Lonchura striata: one gene and its partners. The protein of the gene in region 2 purifies or fractionates together with the protein of the main gene of each other region. This does not show direct contact. Links are inferred from orthologs where the notes say so. Each region holds a gene or a part of one and is shown on either strand. Other genes may lie near its edges.

Region 1 (7,280 bases), on a different chromosome or scaffold from region 2:
CCAGAAATCTTCTAAACACCGTCACATTTCCAAGCAAACTGACCAGGGACTAGTAGGTATCAGACCGCATCATTAGAGGTTGCACAGTGGAGCAATACAACACCCACCCATGATTCGGTTTCGGCCCCGTTCTCAGCACAGAGCCGGGGGTACCGGCACACCCCGAAGCTGAGCCGTGCCCAAGGGCGGGCAGCAAAGCCCGGCACTGGGCACGGCGGGCGCCCCGAGCCCGGCCATCCGCGCCGAACCAGGGCCGCGCCGTCCCGAGGCCGCACGCCAGCCCCGCCGGAGCCGGGCCGTGCCCAGCTACTGCCCCGGCTGACAATGCCAGGGAGCGGCCAGCCGGAGCTCGGCCCCCCTTCCCTGTCAGAGCGGCGGCACGGCTTGACAGCCCCGCTCCCTGCCCGCCGCAGCGCCCGGGACGGGGGCCGGCGGTCGGGCCCCCACGGAGCGGCAGCGGGGCTGCGCGTCCCCTCCGCACCCGGCGCGGCCGCTCCCGCCGGCGGCGCTGCGGCGGCCCCGCGCCGTCCCCGGGGAGCGCCTGTCAGAACGCGCGGCCGGGCCGCGCCGCGGCTCCCCGGGCCGGCGAGCGGGCAGGGCGGGGGAGCCTCACCCGCCGGCGGCGCCGCGGCCGCCGCGCCCCGCACCTCAGGGTGGGTCCCACGCAGGCCGTGTCGGTGCTCTCGATCTCCTGCAGGATCCGATCATGCTCGGGGAGACTGTCCGCCATCTTGGATGGGAGGGACCCGCCGGCCGCGCCGCTGCGGGAGACGCCGAGGGAGGAGCGGCGGCGGAGCCCGGCGGGGGCCGGCGGCAGCGGCCGGGGAGGGTTTGCCGGTGCGGGGGGCAGGGGCAGGTGGCGAGGCGCAGGTCGAGCCGGGCCGCGCCCTTCGGGTTTGCACCGGCTCGGCGGTGCTCCGCTGCCCTTGTCACGGCAGGGCTAGGCCGGGGGAGTCCGGCAAAGCCGCTCCGTCCCCGCGGCATCTCTGAGCGCTGGTGTCCGGCAGAGACCGCGGGCGGCTGCGCCCGCCGGGCCTCAGCCCCTGCGGCCCGCTCAGGGCTCTGTGGCAAACGAGGGACGCGCAAAGTGCGGCCCCTGTCCCGCACGGGCCGGCTGCCCGCCCACCGCACCGCGCTGCAGAGACGCCTTGAAGGCTTGTAGGGTTCAACACGACCTTTTCCACTGAGCTAGTTCTGGTTTGGTCTTGTGGCTAGTTCATGGTGTGGTCTTGTTTTTTTATTATTATTTGGTTTGTTTTGATTCGACCGCTCCCGCACGTGCGGGCTGTGCCCGTCCCGGCAGGGAGGAAGGCACCGAGCCCTGAGCTCTGCGGGGGTTTCTGCATTCACGTTATGTCAGTCTTCATTCCTTCCATTCTTTACGTGATAGAAACTTGGGGGTCGGGGTAAAAATAGAACAAAACCAAGACAAAAAAAAGTTTTGCACCTTTATATGCAGTGGCTTGCTGTTTGACTAGAAACTGACATAGTGTTTCCTAATGCCTTGTACAGCAAAGCGTCTTGTGTCAACGAAGGAGGAATAACCTATTTTCTATTTAAATTTTACACTTCGTGGCCTGTGGCCAGGGATTAATTAATTCTTGGGTTTTGCATGTTCAGGAGACAGGATGCACCTGCTTTCTGGGCAAAATGATCTGCACACAAGTGGGAAGTTCTTGTGAAGAAATAGGCCAGATATGTAAAACTTCAGGGTGATGTGTAGCTACATTTTCCAGTAAGGAACTGACAACATTTGACAAATGTGAATGCATCAAAGTCTACAATTGCATTTGGCATCCTTCCAGTTATTGTTATCAAGCCCATCATCTCTCCTGCCCTGGTGCAACTACACCTGTACACGAGTTAATAAATGGCACCGAAGACAGTGCACATCTTGTCTATGCTTGTGCCTATATCATATTCAGTGTTGATTCAGGTTGTTGATTCACCTACTAAATCAACAAGGACTATTCTGAATGTAGACAAGTGCTTACAAAGTGCATAATTAAAAAAAGGGAAAAATCCTACCACTTGTATTTCCTTCAAGAAATTACTCAAATGCTGTAACAGTTTTCCCACGTTTCTTCTTTTTTTTTTTCCCATCACCAAAATACTGAAGTTATAGATTGACACATTTTTCAGGGTATATTTAATTTTCTTTTTTTAGCCTGATCGTTAATGCAACCTGACGCCTACAGTGCTAGGCAGGCTATTTTTAAAACTCTTCTACAAATACTGACAATATACTGAGACAAATTACATTGCAATCTTATATATATTACTTTTTAAAGGAGAAATATGCAGAGGAATTTCTTCAGTTGCACTTTTACCATTAAACAGTTTCCGTAAGCTACAAATAAAAAAAAAAAAAAATCTTCAGCTATTTAGAAATATCAGCAGTAAAACCTTAAGTAGTTCTGTCTTTGGTGATTAAACAGAAGTTTCATTTATTAAAAATTTAAGAAGCACTTAATTCTTTAAAAATGTAGCTGTTAACTTTAAACTTAAAACACTGTTACGCAAAAAAGAAAATTTCACCTTGTTTTCATTTTTGAGAACACTTTCTTTTTTCACAAATCTGCAGCCAGCCATCAGAAACAGATCAATTTGTCCAGGTGAAAAGAAAGAGCAGAGTAGGTGACCTTGGTTTGTAGTTTTTCACTTAGGGCCAATCACATTGAAATTAAGCTCAACTTTCTGGTAGGCTTCAGGGTCAGGAAAACAAAGTTTCTAATATATTGTGCTGACTGAAAGAACAACTATAGAATGGAACACATCCATCATAAAGAGTATAATACTAAAAAAAGAAGCATACCTTAAGGTGGTTCCAAGAGGCAGCTCAAAGGACTGGATCTCAGCAAGGGCATTTTCATATATCTGATCTTTATTTTCTTCTAGATAAAATTCTGAGAGATTTGACTTACTTTTCCTTGCCATAGAGTAGGATAAAACTAATCTAACTTTAGGAGAGGACTTTTATTCTGATTATTATAGTTGACTAAGTGACCGTAGTCAGCAAAACCAAGCATAAAAAAAAAAGATCCTGTGCTAACCTCGTGACTCTTGAGGACTTTGTGTCCAAGAATGGTGCACAGCTGCTCTTTTCCTGTCTGCTGGTATCATTTGCCTCTTATGCACTACCCAGGGCTGCACAGTCTCTTTTGTGTGTGTGTGCCTAATACATATTAGTCTTAACAACAAAATTCCTGCCAAAATAATATTTTTGCATTCTTGAAATAAATATTAAACCTGAAATTTAGGCGTTTTGAAAACACAACTTTAAAGGAATTTTAGACACTAGACATCAATGCTTAATTACTCTGATAAGTTTTATGAGATTATTTTTTTTTTAATTAGGTTTTCCTTTTGCTATATAAAAAGCTTGCACACAAGGACTTAGCTGGATTTATGAAAAAGATTTATGGATCTCCTAAAGCAGATTAGAAAAACAGAAACATTTATGTTCTCATAATTTTCCTTTTCAGCATTAGTAGTTGCTATTTATAATAATAAATTGCAGAAAAAGCTTTGTGATAACTGTTGGGTTTATATGTGTGAGCAAAAAAAAAAGCTGTTACTAATTTATTACCTGCATGGAAAAAAATGGATAACAAATGTTGAGAGTAGTGCTGCTGTCACATCATTTTCATGATGATGGCAAAGAAAACACTTTGCACAACTGCCATGGATTACTTTAATTTCAAACATGAGACTGGAGTTCTAGATCTTTAAGTTTAAACAACTGTTTAGAAGCCTAATTCAATATCATTTGGATAATCAATATATTTTGTTTTTTATAAATATTTCAAAGGTTTTAATCAGAATTTGGCTCCTGATCTCAGTGCTGTCCTGACAGAATTGATTAATCCAGACACTCGTGGTGCAGTCAGCAGTTAAGTGCAAGGAAACAGAGCTTACTCACTTTTGAGCAGAGTGATAAACAGTTTATTCACTTCTCTGTGCCCAGTGGGAACAATGAGGAGATGGGTTCACATCAGTAGCAGTGGGAAGGAGCACTAAAGGTTGCAGTGAGTTAGGGCTACATACAGATTTGCAATGTTTTTCCTTGAACAAGCTGCTTTAACCACCGGTTTATTTTTGAACCAAAATTAAGCAATTGCTCTGTTAGCATTATTATGCAATACATTTCCTGCTTTCATGTTCTACGTGGAATTGTGAGTAATTTTTACACTTTTCACCAGAAATGAGAGCCTGCGATTGACCCATTCAGCCACTGGATGTCACACAAACGCAGATGAAGGGAATGATGTTGAAACTACTCATTCTAATCTTAACAGTCACCAGATTCAGAATTAATTTAACAATTATGAGGTGACACTGTGCAAGTAAACTGTAAATACTATAACAAGCTTAAGCTTATTCGTGTGATGGAAGAAAGTACATCTACTGCCACTGTGGAAGAGCAGAGGCAGGGCAGGTAAATCAGAGGTGCCTCAGACATCTACACCCAGCCAGCACACACTGTGGCTGGCAATCAAAATAGAACTCAGTGATGGAAGCATGACGATTTATACAAAATGCTTTTATGAATACGTGATTTTAAATTAGTTCAATTCTTACAGAGGCTTTGGGTGAAATTTCTTTTTCCTCCTCTTCCAAAAATTTAAACAGTAGCTTGCTTTAGGAAATCAGCTAACCAAAATAAACAGGACTCTGAATCTGTTGTGCAAATGTTCTTGTTGGTATCGCAGCTGCCTGGAAATAAATATGTTTAATAACAAAGCAAAACAATGTAAGAAGAAGCAAACAAATACAAAGGTGAATGACCAAGAAATAGGCAGATGTTAGAGTCTCTTCAGTTGTGGCAGAGGGTGTTGAAGTACCTTGGTTCTTTGGACAGGATCAGACCAAATTGCACCAGGCCTGGCTGCTCAGCTCTCCAGGGTGTTTTTCACCCCCACTGAACCTAAGACCATGACACCCAGAGGATGATCCAAGGTGCAGTGGTGGATCTGTATCTGACCTGAGATCATGGGCAGCAGTACATTAACACCTGCCAAAAGCCCTTTCTGCTGCAATGACCCTGCTTCTACCCTGTGCTGTCTGTCCAGCCTCTGCTCCCCTTCCCCACTTCTGTCATCTGCTCCTCCCCACCATAATTCCAGTGCTGATTAGATGTGCCCAGCATCTACATCTTTCAGTCACACAGGAGCTTTTCCTGTTTCCAGCTGAGCTCAGGGCCACTCTCAAAAGGTTTAGGGAACTGCCTTGTTCAAGGAAATAAAGTATTTTTTGTAAAAATACAAAGGGACAAATTCAGTATAGGCACTTGACATCCGCTTCTGGCAGAACAGTGTATCTTTGCTTCACAACTATACACAACATACTTGGAGGCTACAACTAAATAGTTTGTCACCAAAGACAATGCTAAGTAATTTTTTTCTCCATGCAGAAAAGGACAGTAGACATTATCATTTCTGAGGTATCATACTTGTACTTGTTCAGATTTAACCAAGTTAAGAAGCCTGAGAAGGTATTAATCTTCTAGAAGTTCCTGGCAGAAAAATAAGAAGGTATCTTCTGTGCTGGTTAAATTCACACTATTTCTGTGAAGGAAGTATTTCATTATCTGGATAGGCAGAAATCTCAGGCCCTGTAAGATGTAGAGCTGTTGCCATCTTTCCAATCATCCTGAGGTTTTCCTTTGAAAAAATGATCCAAAGCACCTATTTCATGCTGAAGGTGTAAAAACAGTTTGCAGCTCAGAAGAGAGCAAGAGGGGAAATTGAGGCAAATTATCAACAATATTGTGAAACAGGATGCAAAGGCTTGTCTAAAGCAAAACCACTTTCACCACGTCCTTTCTCCCCTTCCTCCCCTAATTCCTACTCTTCCCCAACCCTAATGAGATACCAGAGGGCCAAGAACTGCTGGTTTAAATCTTGCCTGCCTATGTTGATACTTTAAAAATACATTTTACCCACATGACCTTACAAAAAGTATAAAGTGCTGTAGAGTAGGGTCCTTACTGTGTATGCAATTCCAGTGTAGATTACTTCCTTTTTTTACAATTGCCAGTACACAATTAGCAGCTTTGAGTCTGTTTCATTTGCTTTCCCAGTTGGATTGGAATCCATTTTGAATGAATCATGGAAAAGAGAGAAGAGGGAAAATGTCCACCCTCAAATGGAATTACTATAGATAATTTTCACATGCAATGCCATCCATAACAAATTACTTCATTGGTCATTGCCCAGATATCTCCTCTTTACATCCCTCCACAAGGACAACAATGCCATTAGTCATTTCTCTGGCATCTCCTGCTCTGCTACTGCTTTCTTTCCTGGGCTCATCCCCAGACTGGATCCTTGCAAACCAGCTCTTTCTCCCTAGAAACTGAACTGCTCCCATTCCCGTTGTGCCTGGTTTTCTGGTGGCCAGACCCATTTCTGCCTCTCAGATGAAGCATGGTAGCAACAACCTTATCAAATGATTCTTGGGGAAAACAGGCAGATGAGGAGATGATGGAATTACCGCTGCCATTTTTTACCTTTTAACTTTTTGCCTAATATATAGTGAGTACATTAGGTATTAGCAGGGAGGTTACCTTTTTTCTTTCCAGAGCATTTAAGTGAATTATGTTTTCTGAATTGTAGTCAAAATCATAAATACATTGACTTTTTCGTTTTAATTATACTAGATTTATGAATTGGACAGTGTACGTAACAATCTTCACTAAAATACCAAATAAACAATGTTCTATTTCACATAGGGGCTTTTTATGGTAAATTGTAAGAACAGCACATATCTCTCCTGTTAGGTGTGCAGTGCATCACTAACTGCTTTTGACATTTCACTGACATCTTACAAGTGCCTAAAAATACTTGGAGAGATCCACAGCTGGTGCTGATGTTATCTTTTTAAGAGTCAATAAAGGCATCAAACCTACTGGTTGAACAGAAGCACTTCTGTCTGACTGCAGTGGAAAGGAGAGTCACTGTCATTGCATGTGTTTATATAATGCTAGAGATGCCATTGAAGAACAAGTACTATTTCATTTTCATTGCAACATACAAACCATATTTTTTTAGCATACCGTTTGAATGATGCTACAAAGTAGCATCTTTATCATTCTAGAAATGCATAAATGCATTCTACAAAACACTGATGCATCTTTTTCTCTCTGCTTACCAGTACTTTTAAGGAACAGGCATTGACTAAAACCCTGAGTCAAGGACATGCCCTGGGAGCCTGAGGGCTTTGCTTCTTTATAGGCAGTGAAGAGCTCTATTACAGATATTGCCCTGGAGGACATTACT
Region 2 (7,920 bases):
GGCACAATGCAGGGGACAGAAAGTCCCCTTTATCCCCTACTATTAATTGAATTTCTCCAAATCTTGTCAAGATCACGCTTTGCCACCATAAAGGCAATCAGTAGAAATAGGAATTTGGGGGGATATCTGGGTCTATCCAGCAATTCGCTGCCAAGCCCCGAGCAGGCAAAGCAAAACCCCTCTCTGCCTCAGTTTCCCCCCTGCTAATCCAGCTCCATTTTCTTTCCAGTGGCATTTTTGGGTGGCCAACGCCCTGAACACGTTGTCCTCGGAGAGAAGTGACTGTCACGTCCCCGCCAGCAGGTGCCACTTCCTCATGCCTGTGGTGGTGCAAACTCCCGTTGCCGAACAACAGAGCTCCGACCCCGCAGCCTCCAAACCCCGGCGGCGCCGGGCTCCGATCCCAGCCGGAGCCTTGGAATTCGGAGCACTGGAACCAGTTTTGTTTAGCAAATGCACTAAAAGGGACTCGTTAACTCTCTTATTGCCAACCCCCAAGCGAGCACTGCACTGAGGATGCGATCCTTAGTCAGGCACTGCAGTGGTTTTGGTTTGCTAATTTGAGATTTTGTTAGTTTTGAGATTTTTTTTGGCTAATGTAGTGTTGAGTGTGGTGGGTTTAGCGCTGGTTAATCCCTAATGTACTAATTTTCTATTGTGAGGTGGGATTAGGAGAAAAGTAAAGTAGGTTTAAAACTTTAAATGGGTATAAAAAAATGATAGAAACTTATAATATTAAAAAATAAAATATAAAAAATATAATAATATAACAGTATAACATCATAATATAATATAATATAATATAATATAATATAATATAATATAATATAATATAATATAATTAACATAATTTAATAAAATAATATATATAATAAAATATAATAATATATAATATAATAATATGTAATAATATATAATAATAAAACTGAAAGAAAGCATAATAAGAATTAGAACAAAACCTTTAGAGTATTTCTCTTCTCTCAATAACTTTTTTTTTACTGATAATGTAAAGGAATAAAACTTAAAATTTTAGTCAGCTTATTACTTCTAAAATAGTCTTTTTGTAGCTCACTTAGGGAATAAAACTTTACATTTTAGTCAGCTTATTACTTCTAAAACAGTCTTTTTTAAGCTCACTTAGGGAGAGAAACCTTCTTGTTACTGTTATGGAGACTTCTTTAAAAGAAAAAAAAATAGCTTTTTGTGGCTCTCAGTTTCTTTATGACTGGTAGTTCTTTGGAGAAATCTGTAACTGTGAAGTGTTTCTTGTTTTACTACAGGCTTTTCTCACAGCTGGCTGAATTTCCCACCTTTTGTGCCGGTGCTGACAGTGGAAATCCCTTGTCCGGCGGGGGAAGCGGCGGCATTCATTCCCGTGTCCAGCGGCAGGCAGGGCTGGAGCCCGCGGGACGGCGGCGGGAGCGGCGGCGGGAGCGGAGCGGGGACGGGGCGGGAACGGGGCGGGAACGGGGCGGGAAGGGAGCGGGAACGGAGCGGGAACGGAGCGGGAACGGAGCGGGATTGGAGCGGGAACGGAGCGGGATTGGAACGGGAACGGAGCGGGATTGGAACGGGATTGGAACTGGAACGGAGCGGGATTGGAACGGGATTGGAACGGGAACGGAGCGGGATTGGAATGGGAACGGAGCGGGATTGGAGCGGGATTGGAACGGGAACGGAGCGGGATTGGAGCGGGATTGGAACTGGAACGGAGCGGGATTGGAGCGGGAACGGAGCGGGATTGGAGCGGGAACGGAGCGGGATTGGAACGGGAACGGAGCGGGAACGGAGCGGGATTGGAACGGGAACGGAGCGGGATCGGAGCGGGAACGGAGCGGGATTGGAAAGGGAACGGAGCGGGATTGGAACGGGAACGGAGCGGGATTGGAGCGGGAACGGAGCGGGAACGGAGCGGGATTGGTGCGGGATTGGAGCGGGACCGGAGCGGGATTGGAGCGGGATTGGAGGGGGATTGTCCCGGGACCGGAGCGGGATTGGAGCGGGATTGGAGCGGGATTGTCCCGGGAACGGAGCGGGATTGGAGCAGGATTGGAGCGGGATTGGAGCGGGATTGTCCCGGGAACGGAGCGGGATTGGAGCGGGATTGTCCCGGGACCGGAGCGGGATTGGAGCAGGATTGGAGCGGGATTGGAGCGGGATTGGAGCGGGATTGGAGCGGGATTGTCCCGGGAACGGAGCGGGATTGGAGCGGGATTGGAGCGGGATTGGAGCGGGATTGTCCCGGGAACGGAGCGGGATTGGAGCAGGATTGGAGCGGGATTGGAGCGGGATTGTCCCGGGAATGGAGCGGGATTGGAGCAGGATTGGAGCGGGAACGGAGCGGGATTGTCCCGGAGCTGCCGCTCCGCCGGTTGCAGCCCTGCTGGTCCTGCGGGCACTGGCAGCACGGGCGTGTGGTTTGCCCTGTGGTAGAACACGCTCTGATGCCTTGTGAAGAACAGACTAGAATAAATCGGGATTTATTAAGTGGCCTCAATAGATCCACCTCGGGCAGCACAACCCAAAATGGTCACAAATGCACTCTCTCACTTTGATAAATTCTGCTCCATTTGCAGATTGGAGTTTAACTCATGAAGTTCCATCCTTTTGTTTTCTCTCTTCATTCCATCTCTTGGGCCTGAGATTTGGATGATTTGTCCTTGGTCCCCAGCTGGGGAAAGATTTGTTTTGTCTCCCTACTCTGTACAGAAAGCTCACCATCCCCTCATATGAAACCTGCACTTACAAACTAAAGCAGAATAGAACCTTGAAAACCAGAAAAGCTAAAACCTGAGGCATCAGCTCAAACTGCAGCATTTGTACCCTTTCTTTTTCCTTTTACCCAAAATAACCCCTTGGACTCTTTCTGTTTGACCAGCATTATTTTTTTTTCCTGCTGCTTCCTTTTAGATGTGCTGCTGCACCTCACGTTTGCACAGAGTCCAGCAGTTTTTACACAATGCTGTGCATTTATTTCTGTATGTTTATTCACTCCTTAACATCCCACACAGCTGGCACTTGGGGTGGGTGTATCTCTCCGACTTTGCTCTAAGGGACTGTTGCTCCATGAGGGGTGAGGGGTCCTTTTGGGTGGGTTTTCAGGAAAGAAACAGCATTATTGGACAAAACACACACAACTGCTCCCCAGGGGAGGTTCCTTCTGGCTCGGGCTGCCCTTTGAATGAAGGGGTGAATGCTGGCAGAAAGAGCATGGAATTCTGTAAAGAAAGATATGGATCTGCTCTTCTGGGAGAAAGATCTTTCCCAATCACACCAGCCCAGTGTGGGGAAGCACAAAAGGTGCTGGGTGCTGAGCTTGGACAGGGATCTCCTCTCTTATACCCCCAAATCCCCTTTACCAGGTATCCCCACAAAACACAGGCAGGTGTTTGTGGCCACACAGGGGAAAAAACAGAGCCAGAGCTTGGGCACATGCGTGGGCAGCAGGACAGGGTGGGTTGTGAAATCCATTGTTGTATAAAAAAAATCTTCTCTCTGGAGCTCGGGGTGGCCTGACAAGGGGAAGATGGATGGGCACACACCAGTCCCTGCGTGTGGCAGGAGCCTTGGAGCGGGGCAGGGCAGCGGGAGCTGGGGCTGCAGGACCTGCAGGTGCTGGAGAAACACTCCCTGCTCTGGGCTTGGGTAGTTTAGGGACATGCAGAGCCCCCAGGGTGTGACACCCCGGCCATCCCCCCTGTGCTCTCCCGTGGGATAACCTTTCTCCCTAAGGGTGCAGGAGTTCACACTCACATTTTTATAATTTCACCTTCCTGAGCTCAAACCCCTGGCCTCCTCCACATCTGTTGTGCACAAATTCATATTTGTTACCCCCAGTGCAATAAACCAATTATGACACACTCAAGAGAGACGCTGATTATTTATTTCAGAGCTGAAGAAACCTGGGTGCTTGTTGGGACTCCACAAATCAAGCCATTACCACGGTCAAAACTTTTTACTATTTATGCATTTTAGCAAAGGAATTTGTGTTAATTGGCCGCAAGTTACATAGTTCTCCTATTAATGATTGTTATTATTCTATCTTCTGTTGGGAAATTATTCTCTTGTTTGCCACGCTAATTAGTCCATGTGCTCAGTCCTTCTCTTCTTTTGGGTTGGTGGGTTCCTTGGATCTGCCCCTGCTGAAATTACAGTTAGTCAGAGCTGATTTATCCTAATTGCTGAGTTGTTTTATAAGTTCCTTCCTTATCTTGGGGGTTCTGTCAAATGTCCTCATGGCCTGTAAATTCTGCCTTTTTTGTACCCACTATCAGCACATCCTTGTCCCAAGCTTTGTTAGCCTACCCCGAGATAATTTAAAAATGTCAAACCCTAAACCATAACAAGGCAATTCTACCAATATGCAGTTTGTTTTTCTAACACCTGCACATCACTTAGAACTTGTTGGCTGCTGTGTCTTTCCTGGATTAAATCTCCTTTATTGTCCATTAGGCTTGAAAGTACACAAAGATCAAACATCAAAGCACATCCTCTCTTAAGAAAATTTTACGCAACAGTGCCACGCTCAGGACGAGAGGACATAGCTTCAAGCTGTGCCAGGGGAACTTTAGGTTGGAGATGAGGAGGAATTTATTCACAAAAATTGTGATTAGACAATGGAACGGGCTGCTCAGGGAGGTGGTGGGGGCACTGTCCCTGGAGATGTTAAAGCCTGGACGTGACACTCGGTGCCATGTTCTGCTTGCCAAGGGGGTGTGGGGGCACGGGCTGGACCCGAGGATCTGGGAACCCAAATTAATTGATTTGGGTTCTGTGACCCATCGCGCCACTCCCAAGATGGCGGCGCAGCCCCTCCCGCCACCCCCGACATGGCCGCGGGCAGGGCAATGCGCATGCGCCGCCGCTCCCCGCGGGTCCTTCTCGCTCGGCGCCACTCTCAAGATGGCGGCGGCGCTCTTTGCGCATGCGCGGTGCGCGCCGCCGCGCCCGTCATGGCGGCGCGGCAGTGACGGGCCGGGCGCGGTGGGAGCGAGCGGCGGGGCGGCTGCGGCGCGATGATCCCGAGCGAGGAGGTGTCGGCCCGCAGGAGGGAGATCGAGGACAAGCTCAAGCAGGTGGGGGTGGGCTTGGGGCGCTCTGCGGGCGCTGCCGGGGCTTGGGGCCGGGCCCGCAGCCCCCTGGCGCTGCCGGGCAGGCGAGGCTGGGTCTGGCGGTCCTCACCGGGCCTGGGGGCGTCCCGGGACCCCTCAAGGCGCTCATCATCCCCCTGCTGGCTTGGGAGCACCCTCAGGTCCTCTTCAAGGCCTGGTTTGCAGGAATGGGGGTATCTCTGCTCCCCACTGTGGGCCTGGGTTTCCCCTCTGCGTTCTCGGCAGGGTCGGTGGGCTCTCCCCACAGTCAGGTTCTGTCCTGACAGGCTGCCATTCCCCTCTGCCTGTGGGCTTTGGGGTCCCTCCACCATCTGTGGGCTTTAATGACTTAAAACCAGCCCTTGGTGGCTGCTTTGCATCGGACACTTGAGTTCCCGGTGTGTTTGGAAGGTGCAGCACCTGTGTTGTGCTGTGGCAGGGAAATGTGTGCTGAGTCGTTGTGCCTCAATGGGAAAAGTGTTCATTTTATTTTGTGCTGTGTTTCCCTTTAATGCCCATAAAGGGAAACAGTGAATTCATAAACCTCCTGGCTCATTACATTATGTGTCCCCACCTTGGGTTACTTGCCCTGCTTTCTGTTAAGAGGTGGTAATATTAAAATGTGGCCACAGAATCAGCATCAGACCAAACATGGCTTGCAGCAGAGTTTACAAGGTTGGTAAAAACCTGTGTGTGCTGTTTAGTGACTTAAACCTTAGTGTTCAGAATTTTAGAGTAATTTCTTTTTCATCTTACTCGCAGGAAGAAGAAACTCTGTCCTTTATCAAAGAGAGCCTTGAGAAGAGTGACCAGCTCACCAAGAACATGGTAGGGATGTCCTTATGTTGGGCCTGGCTTTACTTTTTCTTAGGTTTTTAGGTTTATGAGTTTTCAAGGCTGTTGTGATGCCCATCTGAGGGATGTGGAGCAATGAACCACTTTGGACTTCAGTGACTGGGCAAAGGGGAAACCTGAGAAATGCTTCAATACTGAGCTTCTCTCCTGCTCTGCTGAGGGTTCAGATGAGCTGTTGGCCTCATCTCTGCTACAATCAGTCCTCTCTCTTGGGGAAAAAGTATTAAGAAACCTCAGATAAACAGCATCATGTTGTTGTTTCATAATTCAGGTTTTGTTTGGAGTTTTATTTTGCGAGTGTTCTGTGCAAAGATAAAAAGTAATTATTGTGTTGTAATTGCTTATAAGCCCTCAGTTTATATACTATGTCCAGTCTTGGTCTCAGTGCTTTAAAAAAGTCATAGAGGCACCACCAGAGAAGTGTGGAAAACATGACACAGGAGTGAGTCTTGTAGGAATTACCTTTGAGCCTAGAAAAGATGATTCTGAGGCACCCTTTTATGAGCTTGCTTTGGTTTTCCTCCTGTCAGCAGCACTGTCACGATCCTCTTTAAAAACCAAATGTCTGTGGTGCAAAAGAAGGTTCTCACTAGACTGGTACTTGTGCAGCTCCTGTTTGGGTCTCACTGTGGAGCAAAGGAGCTGCTGGTTTGTGATTTTGCTGCTCTTTTTACATGGGGCACCTCCAGGCAAGTTTCTGCGGCTTTATTTTCTGTTGGTGAATAAAATTTTGCTTGTCCTTTTTTCTGTCTTAGAACGTTATCTTCACTTTTTGGGATTGGCCCATCCCTATATGGCAGGTGATCTGTTTTGTGATTGTTAGTAAAAACTAGAACATAGAGGGGTGGAAACAGCTGCTAAGGAACCATGGCAAATTAGTAGCAGAGCCCAAAAAGAAAAGCTAGGCCTTGAAGATCCCTGACTTCCCTGCTCTAATTCCTACCCCACTCCATAGGAAGGAAGTCCTGAGCTGTTGGTTTCTCTCGTGGTGTGTAGGTTTCAATCCTCTCCTCCTTTGAGAGCCGTTTGATGAAGCTGGAGAACTCCATCATCCCTGTCCACAAACAGACAGAGAACCTGCAGCGCCTGCAGGAGAACGTGGAGAAGACCCTGTCCTGCTTGGATCACGTCATCAGTTACTACCATGTGGCCAAGGACACAGAGAAGATCATCAAGGAAGGGTGAGTTGAGCAGATAAATCCTGCTGGGAGCTTCATCCTGTTGGATTTTTGAGATAGAGGTGGGGGACCTGACTTCACACACCCTTGGTATGCTTGGTACCCTTCCCACATTCTTTCCTCAGTCCACACTGGCTTGACATTCAGCCATTTCCACAGGGCAAAGACAGCTCAGACTCTGTACTGGGATCTCTTCCAGATCTCTCAGAGGTGCTCCCATTGCAATCTCCATGAGCAGCGGTAGCTTTTCTGTTGTCTTCTGATCTTTTCCCAAAGCTTTTCCTTGCCCATTGAAGTTGTTACTACATCCAGGATGTACCAGAGCTGTTCTGGAGCCTCCTTGTCTGGGAGGGTGTTGGATGGTTCTTGTCTGAGATGGGATGTGCAGTTCCCTCTGCCTTCCATCAGGGCCTGTCTGGGAGAGGAAAGCAAGGCTGAGACTTGTGTGCTGCTCCATCACCAGTGCTGCTGCACTTGCTGTGTGGGTTGGGTATCCTGCTGTGGCACTGAGTGCAGGCAGAAGGGAATTCCTCCTAGCTGAGGAAAAGGGGATTGTTGTTTTTATCCCAAGTCTGGTCTGTTGCTTTCGTGTTATTTTGTTTGTTTGTTTGTTTCTTAGGGCACTACCTTTTATTTCTGGTTTTATTTTTAGCCCCACGGGGAGGTTGGAGGAATACTTGAATTGCATGGACAAAATCCAGAAGGCAGTGGAATACTTCCAGGACAACAACCCCGACAGCCCGGAGCTGAACCGTGTGGTGGGTCATGGACCTGGAACCTGTGGATGAGAGGGGGAC
Region 3 (7,917 bases), on a different chromosome or scaffold from region 2:
TGCCACCGGCCCGGGCCAGCGCTGCACCCCCGCCTGTCCTGCTGTCCCTGCGGGGACTCTCCTCCTGAAACACCCCAGAACCTCCCGGGTTTGGTTCTGGGGACACTTCTCAGGGGACACTGCCGGCCCGGGGCTTCTCACGGGGCCGCTCTGCTCTATCTGGGCATCTTTCTCCTCCTGTGATTCCCAGGCATTTGCTCTGTTAATTATTAATTATTAATTACAGCCAGCACCGAGCCCCTGGCCGGGGCTGCTCTGTCCCTGCAGGGGCAGCTCCAGGAGGGGACACTGGGATATCCAGTAATTCCATAATCACCCCAAAGTTTGAGGGACACTGGGATATCCAGGGGTTCCATAATCACCCCAAAGCTTTGAGGGGGACACTGGGATATCCAGTAATTCCATAATCACCCCAAGGCTTTGAGGGGGACATTGGGATATCCAGGGGTTCCATAATCACCCCAAGGCTTTGAGGGACATTGGGATATCCAGGGGTTCCATAATCACCCCAAAGCTTTGAGGGACACTGGGATATCCAGGGGTTCCATAATCACCCCAAAGCTTTGAGGGACACTGGGATATCCAGGGGTTCCATAATCACCCCAAAGCTTTGAGGGACACTGGGATATCCAGGGGTTCCATAATCACCCCAAGGCTTTGAGGGGGACATTGGGATATCCAGGGGTTCCATAATCACCCCAAGGCTTTGAGGGACACTGGGATATGCAGGGGTTCCATAATCACCCCAAGGCTTTGAGGGACACTGGGATATCCAGGGGTTCCATAATCACCCCAAAGCTTTGAGGGGGACATTGGGATATGCAGGGGTTCCATAATCACCCCAAGGCTTTGAGGGACACTGGGATATCCAGGGGTTCCATAATCACCCCAAGGCTTTGAGGGGGACACTGGGATATCCAGTAATTCCATAATCACCCCAAAGCTGAGAGGGGACACCAGGACACTTGGAGACCCCACAAGCACCCCAAAGTTCCCTCTGCAGGAGCCGGGGGAGGTCTCTGCTTTGGGAATGCAGATTTGGGGTCCCAGGTGGGGTTGGCCCCACGAGCTGCCGGGCCTGGAGCGGCTCTGCTGGGAATTCTGGCTCCGGATGCCAGGGGAATCCAGGGAAGCGCCTTCCCAGCCCCGGCTGCTCCCCTGGCAGGGGAAGTGACCTGGTGCCCCCGGCGCTGGCACTGCCAAGCCGTGCCCACCCCGGCAGGACACGGCACGTCCCATTCCCAGCACACAGCTCAGATCCCAGCCCGGCACAAAATCCTGGAGCACCAGAGGGGCTGGGATCCTGCTGATCCCAGAGCACCCACAGTGCCCGGGATCCTGCTGATCCCAGAGCATCACAGTGCCCGGGATCCTGCTGATCCCAGAGCACCACAGTGCCCAGGATCCTGCTGATCCCACAGTGCCCGGGATCCTGCTGATCCCAGAGTACCACAGTGCCCGGGATCCTGCTGATCCCAGAGTACCACAGTGCCCGGGATCCTGCTGATCCCACACAGTGCCCAGGATCCTGCTGATCCCAGAGTACCATAATGCCCAGGATCCTGCTGATCCCACACAGTGCCCGGGATCCTTCTGATCCCACACAGTGCCCAGATCCCTGCTGATCCCAGAGTACCACAGTTCCCAGAATCCTGCTGATCCCACACAGTGCCCGGGATCCTGCTGATCCCAGTGCCAGCACAGGGCTGGGATCCTGCTGATCCCAGTGCCAGCACAGGGCTGGGATCCTGCTGATCTCAGTGCCAGCACAGGGCTGGGATCCTGCAGATCTCAGTGCCAGCACAGGGCTGGGATCCTGCTGATCCCACATCCACCACCCTGCCCAGAACCCCCTCCACACCCCTCTCGATGCCCCCTGGGTCACACCCGTGTCCCCATCCCACCCAAACCCCCCGGTGGCTCCCCTGGCTCAGAGCGTCCCACACTCCCTCCGGAGCCCTCTCTGCGCCTTGCCCATCCCACTTTTGGATTTCCCTCCGGGCCCCGAGCTGCCTTTTGCTCCCCCAGCCCCTTTGATTTTGCTCTTCCGGGCCTGCTGTTCGAATTTGACCCCGAATTCATGCAGCTCCTCGTAGCACAGCGGCTGGGAAGGGGTTAAACCCCGGCGCCATCCCCCCACCCAAATCCCAAAACATTTCCCGATGCTGGGCAGGACCCGAGCCCCTCTCACCTCCCCTGGGCTGCTCCGGGTGCTGCTCCCTGGCTGGGGACCCGGAGCTGGCACAGCCCGCGGGGCAAAATTCCCTTTTCCAGAGGGAAAAGCCGCTGGGAAGCAGGGCCAGGCACAGCCCTGAGCTGCAGCCCGGCTGGGAATTGTTAAATCCGGGAAAAAACGGCAAACCCCCCCAAACTGTGGCTTTGGGTGTGGAGCCCCAGGTGAAAACACACCTGTGGCACACCAGGATGGGTGTCGTGGGTAAAGCGGGCTGGTTTTCCGTGGAAATTTGATTCCCTGCAGGATTTATCACCGAATATTGAATTAATAATGATTATAACAGTAATAATATCCTGGGTTTGGCACAGCCACCGGCCCCTGGCTGTCCCGCTCCTCCATCCCAATACCCGGGTGTCTCCCATCCCTCGGCACACTGCGATTATTTCCCTCCAGGTAATTAGAACAAATTTTTCTTTAAAAAATGATTTTTGCAAAGCCACAGAACAGAAGGGAAAAGCGTTTCCGCGCTGCCTGAAGCCCCCGCGGCCGGAGCCCTGCCCGGCCCCGCCGCCGCCTCCCCCGGTCCCGGCCAGCAGCAGCAGCTTCCCAAAACCATGCCAAAACCACCGCGCCACCAAACAGGCTGCAGCAGACAAAAACCAACATTTCAAATATCCCCGCGGCCTCTTGGCGCTCTGAAACCTCCCCGGGGTTGGGGTTGGATGCCGCATTTCCCCAGTAAATGGAATTATTGCCTTCAGGCTCCAGGCAGTGCTGGGGAATGGTGAGCTGCCCCTGGGGCATCCCGCAGCTGCCCTTTCCACCCCGACAAGTTGCCGGCTGTTCTTTGACCTTTGGGGTTTGTCCTTTTTTCCCCTTTTTTCTCCATTCCAGCCCGGGAGGTGCCGGGAGGGTCGCGCTGAGCGGCGGGCTGCGGCTCGGGGCAGCAGCACCCCCGGGACCCCGACAGCCGGGGGTTTTGGGGCTCCGTCCCTGCTTCCCCGCATCCCCAGCCGCTCCTCGCCGCTGTCCCCGTGCCGGGGACATTTTCCTCCCGGGCGCTTCCCGCTCCCAGGGGCGCGTCTGGAGGTTTTTGCTTGGCAGAGCCGGGGCGAGGACGGGCCAGGCGGGCACTGGGAACACCCACGGCTCCAGCTTCATTTCCCAACTAAATGGAAGCTTAAAAATTCAATTGATTCAGCGCACAGGCCCAACCGCCTCACCAGAAATTGGGGGAAACTTTCTCACTCCGCTCAGCTGCTGGGTGAATATCCCGGGAAATAAAACTCCTTCTCCCGGAGCGTTTGGGAACAGCCGCTCACCGGAACACCAGCTCGGACACACAGAGATGCTCAGCCCCAGCTCCCACGTTCTCCCCCGGCTCTGTGCACTTTTCCTTTCATCCTTCTGCTTCTCCTGGGTCTCCTTACATCTCAATTCCTGGGGATTCTGATCCCAGAAAGTCTCATCCAAAGCCGGCGCCCTTCGGCAGCACCGTCTCCACACCCATCCAGAATTCCGGGTGTTGGAGCAGAGCCCCGGAGCCGCTCGGCTCAGCCACGGGTTTCCAGCTCTCCGGGGAAGCCTCCGGGCTGCTGCTCCTTTCCACGCAGGATTTTCCAACCCACAAATTGCTCCCAGGGAAAAACCCCAAACCAGCGAGAAACAACGCCGGGAAAACGCTCCGGAGAGCCGGGACAGCGCCAGAGCCGCATCCCCAGCCCCAAACCTGCCCCAGCTTCTGGAACACCCGAAAGCTGCCCCAAAAAACCCCAAACCCGCCCCGAGGAGCCCGGAACAGCCGCAGCATCTGGGGGTGCTGGGCAATCCCGGCCGGGGCTTCACACAGGAGCGCTGAGCGGGGCTGGTGCCGCTGCCAGGGCCGGGACACGGTGGGACGGGGTGGGACAGGTGGGGACACGGTGGGGACACGGTGGGGACACGGTGGGACACGGTGGGATATACGATGGAACACGGTGGGGACACGGTGGGACACACAATGGGACAGGTAGGACACAGTGGGACATGGTGGGACAGGGTTCGACAGGGTGGCAAAGGTGGGACATACGATGAGACATGGTGGGACGCACAGTGGGACACGGTGGGACATGGTGGGACAGGGTGGGGACATGGTGGGGACATGGTGGGACACAGTGGGACATGGTGGGCCAGGTGGCATAGGTGGGACAGGGTGGGGACACGGTGGAACATGGTGGGACACGGTGGGACAGGGTGGGGACACAGGGGAGTACACGATGGGCCAGGTGGGACACGGTGGGCCAGGTGGCACAGGTGGGACAGGGTGGGACACGGGGTACACGGTGGGACACACAATGGGACACGGTGGGACACATGATGGGACACGGTGGGCCACACGATGGGCCAGGGTGGGCCAGGGTGGGGACACAGTGGGGTACACGATGGGCCAGGTGGCACAGGGTGGGACACGCGATGGCCCAGGGTGGGGACACAGTGGGACACACGATGGCCCAGGTGGGCCAGGCCGGGCCCGGGGGCAGTACCTGCGTCTCGGAGAGGCTGAGGCTGCTGGCCAGCTGCTTGCGCTCGGCGCCCACCACGTAGTGGTTCTTCTCGAAGGCCCTCTCGAGGCGCAGCAGCTGCGACGGCGAGAAGGCCGTGCGGATGCGCTTGGGCTTGCGGGCGAAGGGGCCGTGCAGCAGGAGGCTCTCCTGGGACACCTCGCTCCCTGCGGGCACACGCGGAGCTCAGCGCGGCCCCGGCGGCTGCCGGCCCGGCTTCCCGGCCCCGAGACACGGGAGGGGAGTTGCGGGGTTTGGGGAGCGCTCCCCGCTCCGAAATTGCGGCGGTTGTGCCGCGTTCTCCCTCCTGGATGCTCTGAGCCCCGCGGCGCCAAAGGGAGGGGAGGGAGAGAAAAAGGAAGAATGAGAGGGAGAAGGGATGGATGGATGGATGGATGGATGGATGGAGAGAGCAGCAGGAAAAGGAGGTGGGAGGCAGAGAAAAAACTGAGACGGAGAGAAAAAGAAATTATAAAATAGGAGGAAGACTGAGGAAGTGACGGGAAAAAATAGAGAAGGAAAACTGAGAAAGAAAAATGTGGAGGGAAGACAGAAGGAAAGAAAGAGGGAAGGGGACAAGGAAAGAGAGGAATAAAGTGGGAAAGCAATTTTAAAAAGAGGGAAAGAAAGAGGAAGAAAAAATGAAGGAAAAGAAAGTGAAAGGAGACGGAAAGAAAGAGACAATAAGTGGGAAAGCAAAAAAGAAAAGGAAGGAAAGAAGCAAAGGATAACGAACGAGAGCAGGAAAGCTGCAGAGCAAGCGAGCGAAACAAGGTAGGAAGAAACGAAAGCAAGAGAAGAAAAGGAAAACTGAAGGCGGAGAGAGAAGGCAGGACCCAGGGAGGGCTCGGGAGAGCGGCGGGCCGGGCTCGGGGGCCGTGCGGGACCCGGAGCCGCTCCCGGGGCCGGAGCTCCGGGCAGCGGCCGCAATCCCCGGCGGAGCCCCGGGGACAAACGAGGGGTTGGTGCCGAGCAGATAAAACTAATCCGGGCTGCGGGACCCCCCGGCACCGCGGCGGGACAGAGGCGACGGCGGTGCCGGGGAAACGGAGAGGCAAAAAAAGAGAAAAGAAAAACGGGGCGGAAAAAAAAACGAGGGAAAAAAAAAAAAGGAAAATGCTAAAGGAAAAGATGCAGCTAAAGAAAGGAAAATAAAGAGGATAGGAAGGAACGGAGAGAAAGAAAATAAAGATACAAGATATAGAGACAGAATGAGAAAATTAAGAGAAAGAAAGAAGGAACGAAAGAGAGAATGAGAGAAAGAGAGAAAGAGAGAAAGAAAGAAAGAGAGAGAGAAAGAAAGAAAGAAAGAAAGAGAGAGAGAAAGAAAGAAAGAAAGAAAGAAAGAAAGAAAGAAAGAAAGAAAGAAAGAAAGAAAGAAAGAAAGAAAAAGAAAGAAAGAAGCAAAACAAAAAAGTGAGGAAAAGAAAGAGAAGGAAAGAAAGAGAAGAAAGAAAGAGAAGAAAGAAATTAAGAGAAGAAAAGGAATCGAAAGAAAATCTACGGAACCAAACAACATCTCTCTGCGGAGCCGAGATCCGCCGCACCGAAATCCTTCCCTTCGTTCCCGGGAAGGAGAAAACCAAATTCCCGGCTCGGCTGCGCACGGAGGCGGCGGCGCCGGTCCCGTCGCCCGGAGCTCCGCGATGCTCGGCCGGGACTCTGCGGGGCTCTGCCCGGCCCCGGCCCCGGCCCCGGGGCTGCGGGAGCGCTCCGGCCGCGGCTGGGCAAAGGCACCGGCACCGGGTGCTCGGAAGCACCGAGCGCTCGGAATGACCGAGTGCTTCAAATCACCGGGCGTGCGGAGGCACCGGGTGCTCGGAACCACCGGGTGCTCGGAATCACCGAGTGCTTCAAATCACCGGGCGTGCGGAGGCACCGGGTGCTCGGAACCACCGGGTTTTCGGAAGCACCGAGTGCTCGGAGGCACCGGGTGCTCGAAAACACCGGGTGCTAGGAGGCACCGGGTGCTCGGAACCACCGGGTGCTAGGAGGCACCGGCTGCTCGGAACCACCGGATGCTCGGAACCACCGGGTGCTCGAAATCACCGGGTTCTCGGAAGCACCGGCTGCTCGGAGGCACCGGCTGCTCGGAGGCACCGGCCCCGCCGCGGAGCGCCCGGGGCCGCGGCCGTGCGTGCGGGCACGGCAGCAACAGGTCTTGGCCGTCAGCCGGGCCCCCGAGCCCCGGGAAGGAGCCCCGCGGCCCCGCAGCCCCCGGGGCCCCGCAGCCCCCGGCCCGCGCCCCCCGCGGCCCCGCTCACCTTGGAAGCGGTGGCCGAAGAAGCGGTTCCGCAGCACCCAGGGGTAAAAGTTGAGCGGGTCGCGGTGCTGCGGCCCGAAGAAGGGGTGCGGGTGCGGCAGGGCCGAGCCCCCCAGCTGGGGCGGCCCGACGGGCAGCGCCGGGTGCCCCACGGCCTCGGGGAAGACGAGCTCGGCGCTGCCGTACAGGGCCCGGCCGGCGGCTCCCTGGAAGCCGGGGGCGAAGGCGGCGGCGTCGGCGGCGGCGGCGGGGCCGGGGTAGGCGAGGGCGGCGGGGCGCGGGGGGTCCTCGGGGCCCAGGGGGGCGTCCTTGCCCACCAGGGACTCGATGGTGAAGCAGCGCTTCGCGGACGGCTGGAACATGGTGTGAGCCGGGAGCGGGGGGGGGGCCGGAGCGGGGCCGGTCCTGCGGGTGCGCGCGTGTGTGCGGTGTGTGTGTGCGTGCGTGTGCAAGAAACCTCCCCCTGGGCACGGCACACACACGCGGACCCGCGCCCCGCACCCCTCCCTCCCTCCGCCCCCGCCCCGCCGCCCACCCGCGGGCGCCCACGCAGCCCCGGGCCCCGGGCGGCCGCTCCGCGGGCGGGCGGCACCGGCGGGGCCGCCTCACCTGAGCCCCGGGCCCGGCGGGGAGCCCCGAGGCAGGGCCGGGACGGGAGAGCGGGGATGGGCCGGGAGAGCCGGGAATGTGGGAACGGGACGGGAGAGCAGGGATGGGATGGGAGAGCCGGGAATGTGGGAATGGGACGGGAGAGCGGGGATGGGCCGGGAGAGCCGGGAATGTGGGAACGGGACGGGAGAGCGGGGATGGGATGGGAGAGCCGGGATGGGATGGGAGAGCCGGGATGGGATGGGAGAGCGGGGATGGGATGGGATGGGAGAGCCGGGATGGGGTGGGAGAGCGGGGATGGGATGGGAGAGCGGGGATGGGGTGGGAGA

What was found.
Region 1: the proteins of EXOC7 (region 2) and EXOC6 purify together in Homo sapiens (affinity purification with mass spectrometry; 4 studies listed by BioGRID and IntAct, counting the BioPlex papers as one, with this or other methods). This does not show direct contact. The link is inferred for Lonchura striata from reciprocal best matches to the Homo sapiens genes EXOC7 and EXOC6.
Region 3: the proteins of EXOC7 (region 2) and EXOC6B purify together in Homo sapiens (affinity purification with mass spectrometry; 3 studies listed by BioGRID and IntAct, with this or other methods). This does not show direct contact. The link is inferred for Lonchura striata from reciprocal best matches to the Homo sapiens genes EXOC7 and EXOC6B.

The regions. Positions count from the first base shown.
Region 1 is NC_134609.1:17,132,836-17,140,115, forward strand, and holds the start of EXOC6 (exocyst complex component 6), read right to left. Parts: upstream 3,002-7,280; 5' UTR 2,938-3,001; coding exon 2,816-2,937; intron 787-2,815; exon of another isoform or gene 731-786; coding exon of another isoform or gene 648-730; intron 1-647. UniProt on the Homo sapiens protein: Component of the exocyst complex involved in the docking of exocytic vesicles with fusion sites on the plasma membrane.
Region 2 is NC_134621.1:4,238,412-4,246,331, forward strand, and holds the start of EXOC7 (exocyst complex component 7), read left to right. Parts: upstream 1-4,917; 5' UTR 4,918-5,015; coding exon 5,016-5,075; intron 5,076-5,852; coding exon 5,853-5,918; intron 5,919-6,941; coding exon 6,942-7,126; intron 7,127-7,775; coding exon 7,776-7,881; intron 7,882-7,920. UniProt on the Homo sapiens protein: Component of the exocyst complex involved in the docking of exocytic vesicles with fusion sites on the plasma membrane.
Region 3 is NC_134606.1:947,743-955,659, forward strand, and holds the start of EXOC6B (exocyst complex component 6B), read left to right. Parts: upstream 1-4,916; 5' UTR 4,917-4,920; intron 4,921-6,980; coding exon of another isoform or gene 6,981-7,341; exon of another isoform or gene 7,342-7,401; intron 7,402-7,917. Other genes in the region: homeobox protein EMX1, read right to left, coding at 4,699-4,883, 6,981-7,341. UniProt on the Homo sapiens protein: Component of the exocyst complex involved in the docking of exocytic vesicles with fusion sites on the plasma membrane.